2 linked regions of the Rattus norvegicus genome follow. The protein of the gene in region 1 interacts with the protein of each later gene in a pairwise test. Links are inferred from orthologs where the notes say so. Each region holds a gene or a part of one and is shown on either strand. Other genes may lie near its edges.

Region 1 (3,540 bases):
CCAAAAGAAGTTCTTTCAAATTAAGTTTTGTACTATCCAAAATGCCTCCTTTAAAACAGAAGGAAACAAATTCCAACAGTGCTATGGTCAAGGGTTATATCATTTCCAAACACTGCAATATTTGATTATTTGCTGTCGGCCAGTCTCATGCAAAAGTAAACCTTGACTTTCCAGACAAGGTTATGTTGATGAATACATTGCAAATAGTTAAGCATTTGTAAGGTACACGCACTCGCATCTTAAAGGGAAGCAACGTGACAGTGTGGTCTCACGGGAGGTGGTGAGAGGCCATGGAGTCTGCTTCTCTCGACTTTCTGAGCAGGGCTCGTTTGAGAGCACTAATTTTCTCATCCAGTTCAGCCAGTGAATAGTTCTGCTGGAGACACAAATTGCTGAATAAGACTTAAGTTTCTTAAGGCAGATAAAGTGCTAAGTGAACTATAAATACCTAACTATTCAGCAGCACATTACTGTATAGTAGTTTTGAGACTGAAAGCTGTGTGTGGTGACTGTGCCATAATTTAGAGGTATAAACTAACAAGGCTTCTATTTTTTTTCTGGGCTGTAACCATATGTCAGGGCATTTGCTTGACGCATGGGAAGCCCTGGATTTCATCCTAGCAACACAGAACTAATGCATATATAACATAGTGCCATATTGACCTGAGTCTCCTCCCTAGTGACAAAGCTTTCCTGGAGTTTCTGAGCTTTGAAATACCAATAAAAGCTTTTTTAAAAAACAAAACAAAACCCCAATGACTCATAATCTACAGCAAAAAAAAAAAAAAAAAAAAAAGCACTGGAGGATTAGCTTAGATGCCTAAAATACCTAGAACTTTCCTTCTGAGGGACCAACTAATCTCTGAAACAAAGACTACTCTCAAAAAATGACTCAAAATTGTACATAAGTATGTAATAAGCTACTTTGAGAGACATGGCATGCTGAGACAGGGCTTTACTATATATATATTGCATATATAGTGCAGGGCTGGACTTCTGACCCTTTTATCTCATCCTCCAGAGTACTACGATTACAGGTATATACCACCACACCCAGTAGCAACATACTATTTAAAAAAAATAGCAAATTTTAAAAGTTTTCCCCAACTCTAATTTACATCATTAAGACATAAAATTATACTATTTTAATTCAACTAATTAAGTATTTTGGACAGAGAGCTACGCTGTAATTAGCATTTGTGTATGGGTGTGGCGGGGAGGGGAGCACAGAGTATGTGTTTGTGGATACATATACCTATGGTGGTCAGAGACTAACAGTGGCTATCTTCCGCAACTGTTCCCTATCACACTTTCTGAGACAGTCTCAGTGAACCTGGAGCCCACTGGTTAGACAGCTGCCCCGTAAGCTGCTGTCTCCCAGTGCTGAGGTAACAGAACCACACCGCTATGCTCTGCTTTTGAAGCAGATGCCATGGATCAGAACTCAGGTTTTCTTGAATGTTATATAATCCTCTGCTCATTAAGCCATCTCCCCAGACACGATGTCACCTCTTTTTGATTTAGATAACACTAATTAGTAGTGCTCATAAAAGGCAAGGTGGGAGGAGACTAAAGTTATATGGGCACTTAAATGTTTTCTAACCCAATATTTTATTAAAAACAAGGTGAAGATTTTTGTATTTCATTAGCCTGTTGAAATCATTCTATGGTCTTAAAATAAAATGGCTTCCCTAATTCAACCTAAAGTCTGCCAAGGTATGACTAAAAGCAACAAGAGTAGACATATTTGTTAATAAAGTATAAAACTCATTAATCTATTTCTGAAGTCTAAAGGAAGACAAAATGACTTACTTGAGGTGGTTGGACTTTTCTTCTTTTTCCAGAAAAGTTCTAGTATAAAAGTAACAAAATAATGACTATTTAGGACACATCAGCATTACTCCCTTTGTAGAAGACTGTGTAATAGATACATGGAAAGCCTTTGTGAACCCCAAACAGTTCTAAAATCAGGAAGCATAGTCTACAAAGTTACCCACAGAGGAGGGTATTGTTACAAATAGTATATAACAGTGTAACAGCAAGCTCCTCTCTGGCAAATACCTACTTCATTAGTTACCAGCTTCTCATAATCTGAGTAATAGCTCTTGGGAACCCTCCCATCTGGGAAACTGACCAAGAGAAGCAACAATGGATAGATGCAAAAGGTACTTGGCATACTGAAGTAAGAGGTAAACACATACATAACACGTGCATATGTGCAACAGGTATCTTTGACCATGGAAGGCACTGTGCCAGTCTAAGCAAGCAGCTCTATGTGCCCTCTGTGTGACTCAAGGCAGTGCCTACCCCACCCCAATGTTCTTGTTTAGAAATTGACATGCACATAGCCTAACTGTAGCCAATGAGTAAGGAGGGTCTGCTGGGATTAAGGAGAAATTTTCTGCCAACTTCTCTTGTGAGAAAACAAAGGTTCCTCTGGGACACTGCTGTATGTGGCTAAAATACCTAAAATTTATAGTAGCCTTGCCATGTATCAGTGGAAGAAGCCAACACTAGATAGACCCAAGAGGAGCAAGAATTCAAGTCTTGACTTTGCAGCTACATCACTCTGAAGACTGTGTTCTCATTTTTTATAATTTCCATTTAAATTCATTTTCTTGCAGTGGGGCTAAATAGATCGCAGACTGGTAAAACACTTGCCCAGCCCTGGATTCAATCCCTGGTGGTGTGTGTACAGGCACACTAGCCTGAATGTTAGATTCTCCTCAAGCTGACAGGGCTTACAGAGACAAACTCCTCAGTGTTTTGAGCTGTGATGTAATGAAGTTATTGGGTGTCCAATTACTAATGGAACAGATCTGACAAAAACAAAACAAAAACCCAAAAAACAAAAAAAAAAAAAAGAAAAACACATAATGTATGTACATGAAAGAACTTTTAATGAACATATATGACCACAAAGATTCAGAAGAAATTAAAACTCAGATTCTCTTTCATGTCTAGATACCACCTAATGCCTCATACGAGTGGCTGTATTAAATAGCAGTCATTCAGCGCTAGAATTACTAGACTTGGAATAATAGAGCTCAGATAAGTATGCTCCTCTTTGCCAAGCTGAGCTAGGTAGCTACGGTGGGCCACATGGACAGGTGGAGCTTAACTTAAACCTGTCCACTGTGCAGACTCTTACCTACCTAAAAAGTAGCTTTTTTAGATACTCATTGAAACACTTTCCCTTGAGATGCCAACAGTGTAATCAATGGAATACCAATAGTTCTATGCCACAAATGATCACATCATCATCATAAAACCAAAAAAAAAAAAAAAAAAAACCAAAAAAAAAAAAAAAAACAAACAAAACCCAGAATGAGAACAGGTACACAGTGGATCAAGGATCAATGACTTAAAAACCAAAAAAAAAAAAAAAAAAAAAAAAACCAAAACAGTGAACTGAGTCTTTGGGGCTTATTTTAGGTTTGAATACAATTATTTCACAAGAACATTTAGATACACTATAGTATATGGATTTTTTTTTTTTTAGGGTATGAAGCTATCTATGTATAAAGGTAAACATTTTAA
Region 2 (4,196 bases), on another chromosome or scaffold:
AACATTTTCAAAGTATAAGAGCCTCTTGAAATATTCCAAGTCAAAACAACCAGAGATCAAATCGCTAACAAGAATTAAATGGATACCAAAATGTTTGTAATAGCCTGGGAGAAAATGATAGATTACAATCAGTGGGACAATTTCAAGGACAGAGAACAGAGGCCTATTTTTCTTTTCCCTATTGTATACATACCGGCTGGTAGGTCTCTGCCCCACATTGATCGCAAGTGTATGTGGCCACCACCATCCTGGGCTTGACTTCAGACACACGAGTGACAATCCCACGCACAGTTAACAATTTCCCTACAGAATCAGCCCGTACTTCCCGGATCACTCGAGGCTTGCTGCTACTTGGGCCTTGGAAATACAACTCACTAAGAGAAAGAAACATTTGTCAACAAGGCCCTGGAGAGCAAGTCCCTGCCCCTTCCCACAGAGGTACTTACAATCTACGCATGAGCTCAGAAGGATACTGGTTTTGAGGGTTCCGGACTGCCCCAGGGTCTCTGCTCCGCTGCTCCATCATCAATCGGTGTTCAATGTAAACATCCAGGACATCCTTATTCACCACCTCCTTCTCCTTGTACTCAGGCAGAAGCTCCTGTACTACGTCAGCAAACAGCCTCGAGTAGCGCTTGGCATTCTCGCAAATTGAGTCGACCAACTCAGGGTCATCTTCAGCTACATCATCTAGGTCCACGTACAATGCCACTTGTTCCCGATGAGCCAGATGAACCTGAGGTAAGGAAGAGACAGTAACACTTTAGAGTCAAGTTCACCTCACCCACAAAAGCGCTTCTAAGTCACTGGCCTACCTCCCATGGGGAAAAACAGAATAGTGTCCAGCAGAGTGACAGGTGTTCCCAATCCCAGCACTTAGGATTTAGAAGACAACAGAATGAGGAGCTCAAAGCCAACCTTAGCTATGTAACTACATAGGGTGTTCTTGATGCTGGTCTGTGCTACACACAGACTATCCCTAAAAACCAAGAGCTAGGCATGGATGAGAATGCTCAGCAGGTTAGACACTTGCCATCTAGCCAGATGACCTGAGCTTGCTCTTCAAAACACATGTGGTGGGAGACTCCCACAAATTGTCCTGTTGACCTCCACACATGCTATGGCATGCCCATGTGAGCACAAGCATACAGGAATAAATACAAGTAAAACAGCTAAGAAAATCCAAAAGTAAACATAGAAGAACTCAAAACTTTGTATAAAAACAATCAAAACCAAGTCATTCACTGATAGCCATTCTTGCTATCACAAGGTAGGGCACCTTATACAAGTTCTTACACACCACTCCACTCCCCATAACCCACCCTGAGACTTACCAACTGGGTCCCATACTTGAACTGCTTCTTTCCAAGCTCATCATCATAATAAAACTCTTGCAGGAACTTCTTCACTTTTTCTACAAATATGAAATAAAATATCTTTGTGGACAGTGAGGTGTAAAGCCCACGCCAAGTCTGACAACTGGAGTTCAATCTCTGGGACCCACCCACAGGTTGGAAGAGTTCTGCGGGTGTCTAGCACCCAACTGTAAGCTGTGATGTGCCCGTGCAAACGCGCACGTGCTCTCACAAACAATAACGTAGCAAAAAAACTTAAAAACAATCACTCTCCCTTTTGGATTCTTTATTTCAAACTCTTAACGGAAAACTAAGAAACCCGCTTGGCGGGACTTATGAACTAGTTAGTTAAATGAACATTCAAAACAAATCTACCAAGTTCTCAAAGTAGCAGTGCTCCCTTTCACAAGTCTGTTTTTACCTAGGGAAGAATATAGGTCCCTGGGCAGTTACAATAATCTTACCTAACCACCCTCAAGAAATTCCAGTGTCTGCCTTAGTTAGGAACCTCAGTTTCTTCAATTCTCTCAGCTTGCTCACAGTCGACCTAAGACCCTCGGTTCTCCCTCTACCAGTACAGTACAGCTCTTTCTTTTCCGGCTCCCGCCAGAACGTCTGCCACTAGGCCTCCTTCGGCACCCCATGCCCGGCTCCCGCCACTGCTTCCGCTCTTAGTAAACAAAGAAGCACATGGGCCTGGATTCCAGCCGCCTCACAACCCAGGATTCCTCCGCCTGAAACCGGTGGCCGTGCGGGGATTGGCCAGAACTCCAAAGGGCCACTCGGATTCACCATACTGCCAACGCTCACCGCCCGGCGCTCAGCCTCCCAATCCCAGGCACGCCCCTACCTAGAGCAGTTATCTCCGATGCCACCGCGCGGAAGGACACTGTTTACACACGACAGCCCTCCGATCAGGTAGCGCCATTTCCGCCCGCCTCTACTTCCGCTTGGAGGGCGGCCGAAAACTACCAATCGCGGAGCGGAGCGGTCCAGCAAGCCCCGCCTCTGGGCTCCGGCGCGCCTCGAGTGCACGCGGGAATTTGCTAGTGCCCCAAGGCGCAGAGGCTGGTCTAGTAACCCAGTCCCTCAAACCCCGTACTGAAGGCTCCACGTCATCTGGTCTTCCCCGAGCACGCCCCTCCTCTTTGTGGCCTTCACTGGGTTCTCTCCCTAACACAACCACATCATCTTTTCCAAGCAGAATTGCTTCCTCCATTCTTAATGCCCATTGCTTATCCCAGGTGCAGTTAGCTTGTCCCCAGAGTCACAGATCTCGGCTCCCCCCAAGACCCAAGCTCCCCTCAACAGGTGTAGGTAGAGAAGTTTCCCTCCGAGGACGCCGTTCCCAGCCCTATAGAGCATCACCTTTCTCAATCGCATAGTCCTTAAGCGCCATCGCTGCCGGGGACCGTGCGGCAAGACTTAAATGGTTCTGAAGTCTCACTCCGGGGAAGCAGAAAACGAACGCGCAGCGGTACGTAGCTCTCCAACCGAAATTGGCGCGAAACGTCGTCACCCATGTGACCCATACGGCTAAATACGGGCCAATCAGAGAGGGGGTTCCCAACCGCTGCCGGCCCCTAACTTTAACCAATCACTGGATGAATCTAGATTGAATGACAGAGAGCTAGGGGGCGGGCCGGTGGAAGATTGCCTGATTCTGCTGGGTTGGGCACCCGATTTCCCGCGGTTCGAAATTAATGCTCGCGAGTGTGTGTGTGGGAGGAGTTTCTTAAAGCGCCAGCCTCAGTGCGGCCTTTTGTTCCGTGTCCGCAAGGCGGGGTGGGTTCAACTTTCACCGTCTTCTTGTCTATCCTTCAGAACGGCCATGATTTCCCAGTTCTTCATTCTGTCTTCCAAGGGGGATCCGCTCATCTATAAAGACTGTATCCTTTGGACCGGGAGACGGGATAGGGGAGGTGGGTAGAAATCGAAACCAGGCCAGTCTGTGTCGCCTGCTCCTTAACTATCTTTCCATCTGGCTAGTCCGAGGGGATAGTGGTGGTCGTGATGTGGCCGAGCTCTTCTACCGGAAGCTGACGGGACTGCCGGGAGGCGAGTCCCCGGTTGTCATGGTAACTACTGTGGCAGGCGAGCAGGGGCTTAGAACTGTGGAGGTGGGTGGGTGCCTCATCTCTCCCTGTCAAGGGCGGCTTGGTAGGAAGAAGCTTTTTTTTTTTTTTTTTTTTGGATGTAATGAGCAAAGGCGAGGTTTATTACGGAGATCTATTATGGGGATCTCCGGGCCGACATGTATCCCGCGCAGGAGACAGAGGTGTCGACCAGGAAGAAGCTTTTAAGGAGGAAGGATTCGTTTCTCCAAGTAAGATAGATGAGTACTGACAAGACGCCAGATGCAGAGCCTTGCATCCCCATCTCTAGACTATCAATAACTCAGAGAGGTAGGTGCTACCTTTACACGTTAGGTGGCCAGGTCTTAGGTCTCAGGGATCGCCCAGCGTCACACTTCTACCATCACGATTGGAGACCCCAGGGTGCTATCTTGCAGGCTACATTACTACAATTCTGGTCTTTTGTTAATAATGCCTCTGTCCTCAACTCTGCCTTAGTATCACGATGATCGTCATTTTATTCACATCAGACACAGTGGTCTCTATTTGGTGGCCACAACTTCAGAAAATGTCTCTCCTTTCAGCCTCCTGGAGCTACTTTCCAGGTGAGTGGGGCTGGAACAGGCACGTAAGAAGGAGTGTATGAGAGGTTTATTCACACAATCCGCTGTGTTTCCTTAGGTTAGCCACTCTCTTGGGTGACTACTGTGGCTCACTCAATGAGGGGACCATCTCACGGAATGTGGCGCTTGTCTACGAACTCCTG

Evidence for each region. The genes of interacting proteins can lie anywhere in the genome.
Region 2: the proteins of Mbip (region 1) and Mcm7 interact in binary tests that used the Homo sapiens proteins (3 or more experiments, as listed by UniProt). The two-hybrid records come from large-scale screens. The link is inferred for Rattus norvegicus from reciprocal best matches to the Homo sapiens genes MBIP and MCM7.

What each region holds. Positions count from the first base shown.
Region 1 is NC_086024.1:79,543,449-79,546,988, forward strand, and holds part of Mbip (MAP3K12-binding inhibitory protein 1), read right to left. Parts: intron 1,852-3,540; coding exon 1,813-1,851; intron 377-1,812; coding exon 269-376; 3' UTR 1-268. UniProt on the Homo sapiens protein: Inhibits the MAP3K12 activity to induce the activation of the JNK/SAPK pathway. Component of the ATAC complex, a complex with histone acetyltransferase activity on histones H3 and H4.
Region 2 is NC_086030.1:22,160,366-22,164,561, forward strand, and holds the start of Mcm7 (DNA replication licensing factor MCM7), read right to left. Parts: upstream 2,814-4,196; 5' UTR 2,755-2,813; coding exon 2,724-2,754; intron 2,277-2,723; exon of another isoform or gene 2,206-2,276; intron 2,044-2,205; exon of another isoform or gene 1,820-2,043; intron 1,415-1,819; coding exon 1,335-1,414; intron 737-1,334; coding exon 447-736; intron 375-446; coding exon 194-374; intron 1-193. Other genes in the region: Ap4m1 (AP-4 complex subunit mu-1), read left to right, coding at 3,187-3,244, 3,345-3,469, 3,929-4,035, 4,112-4,196. UniProt on the Homo sapiens protein: Acts as a component of the MCM2-7 complex (MCM complex) which is the replicative helicase essential for 'once per cell cycle' DNA replication initiation and elongation in eukaryotic cells.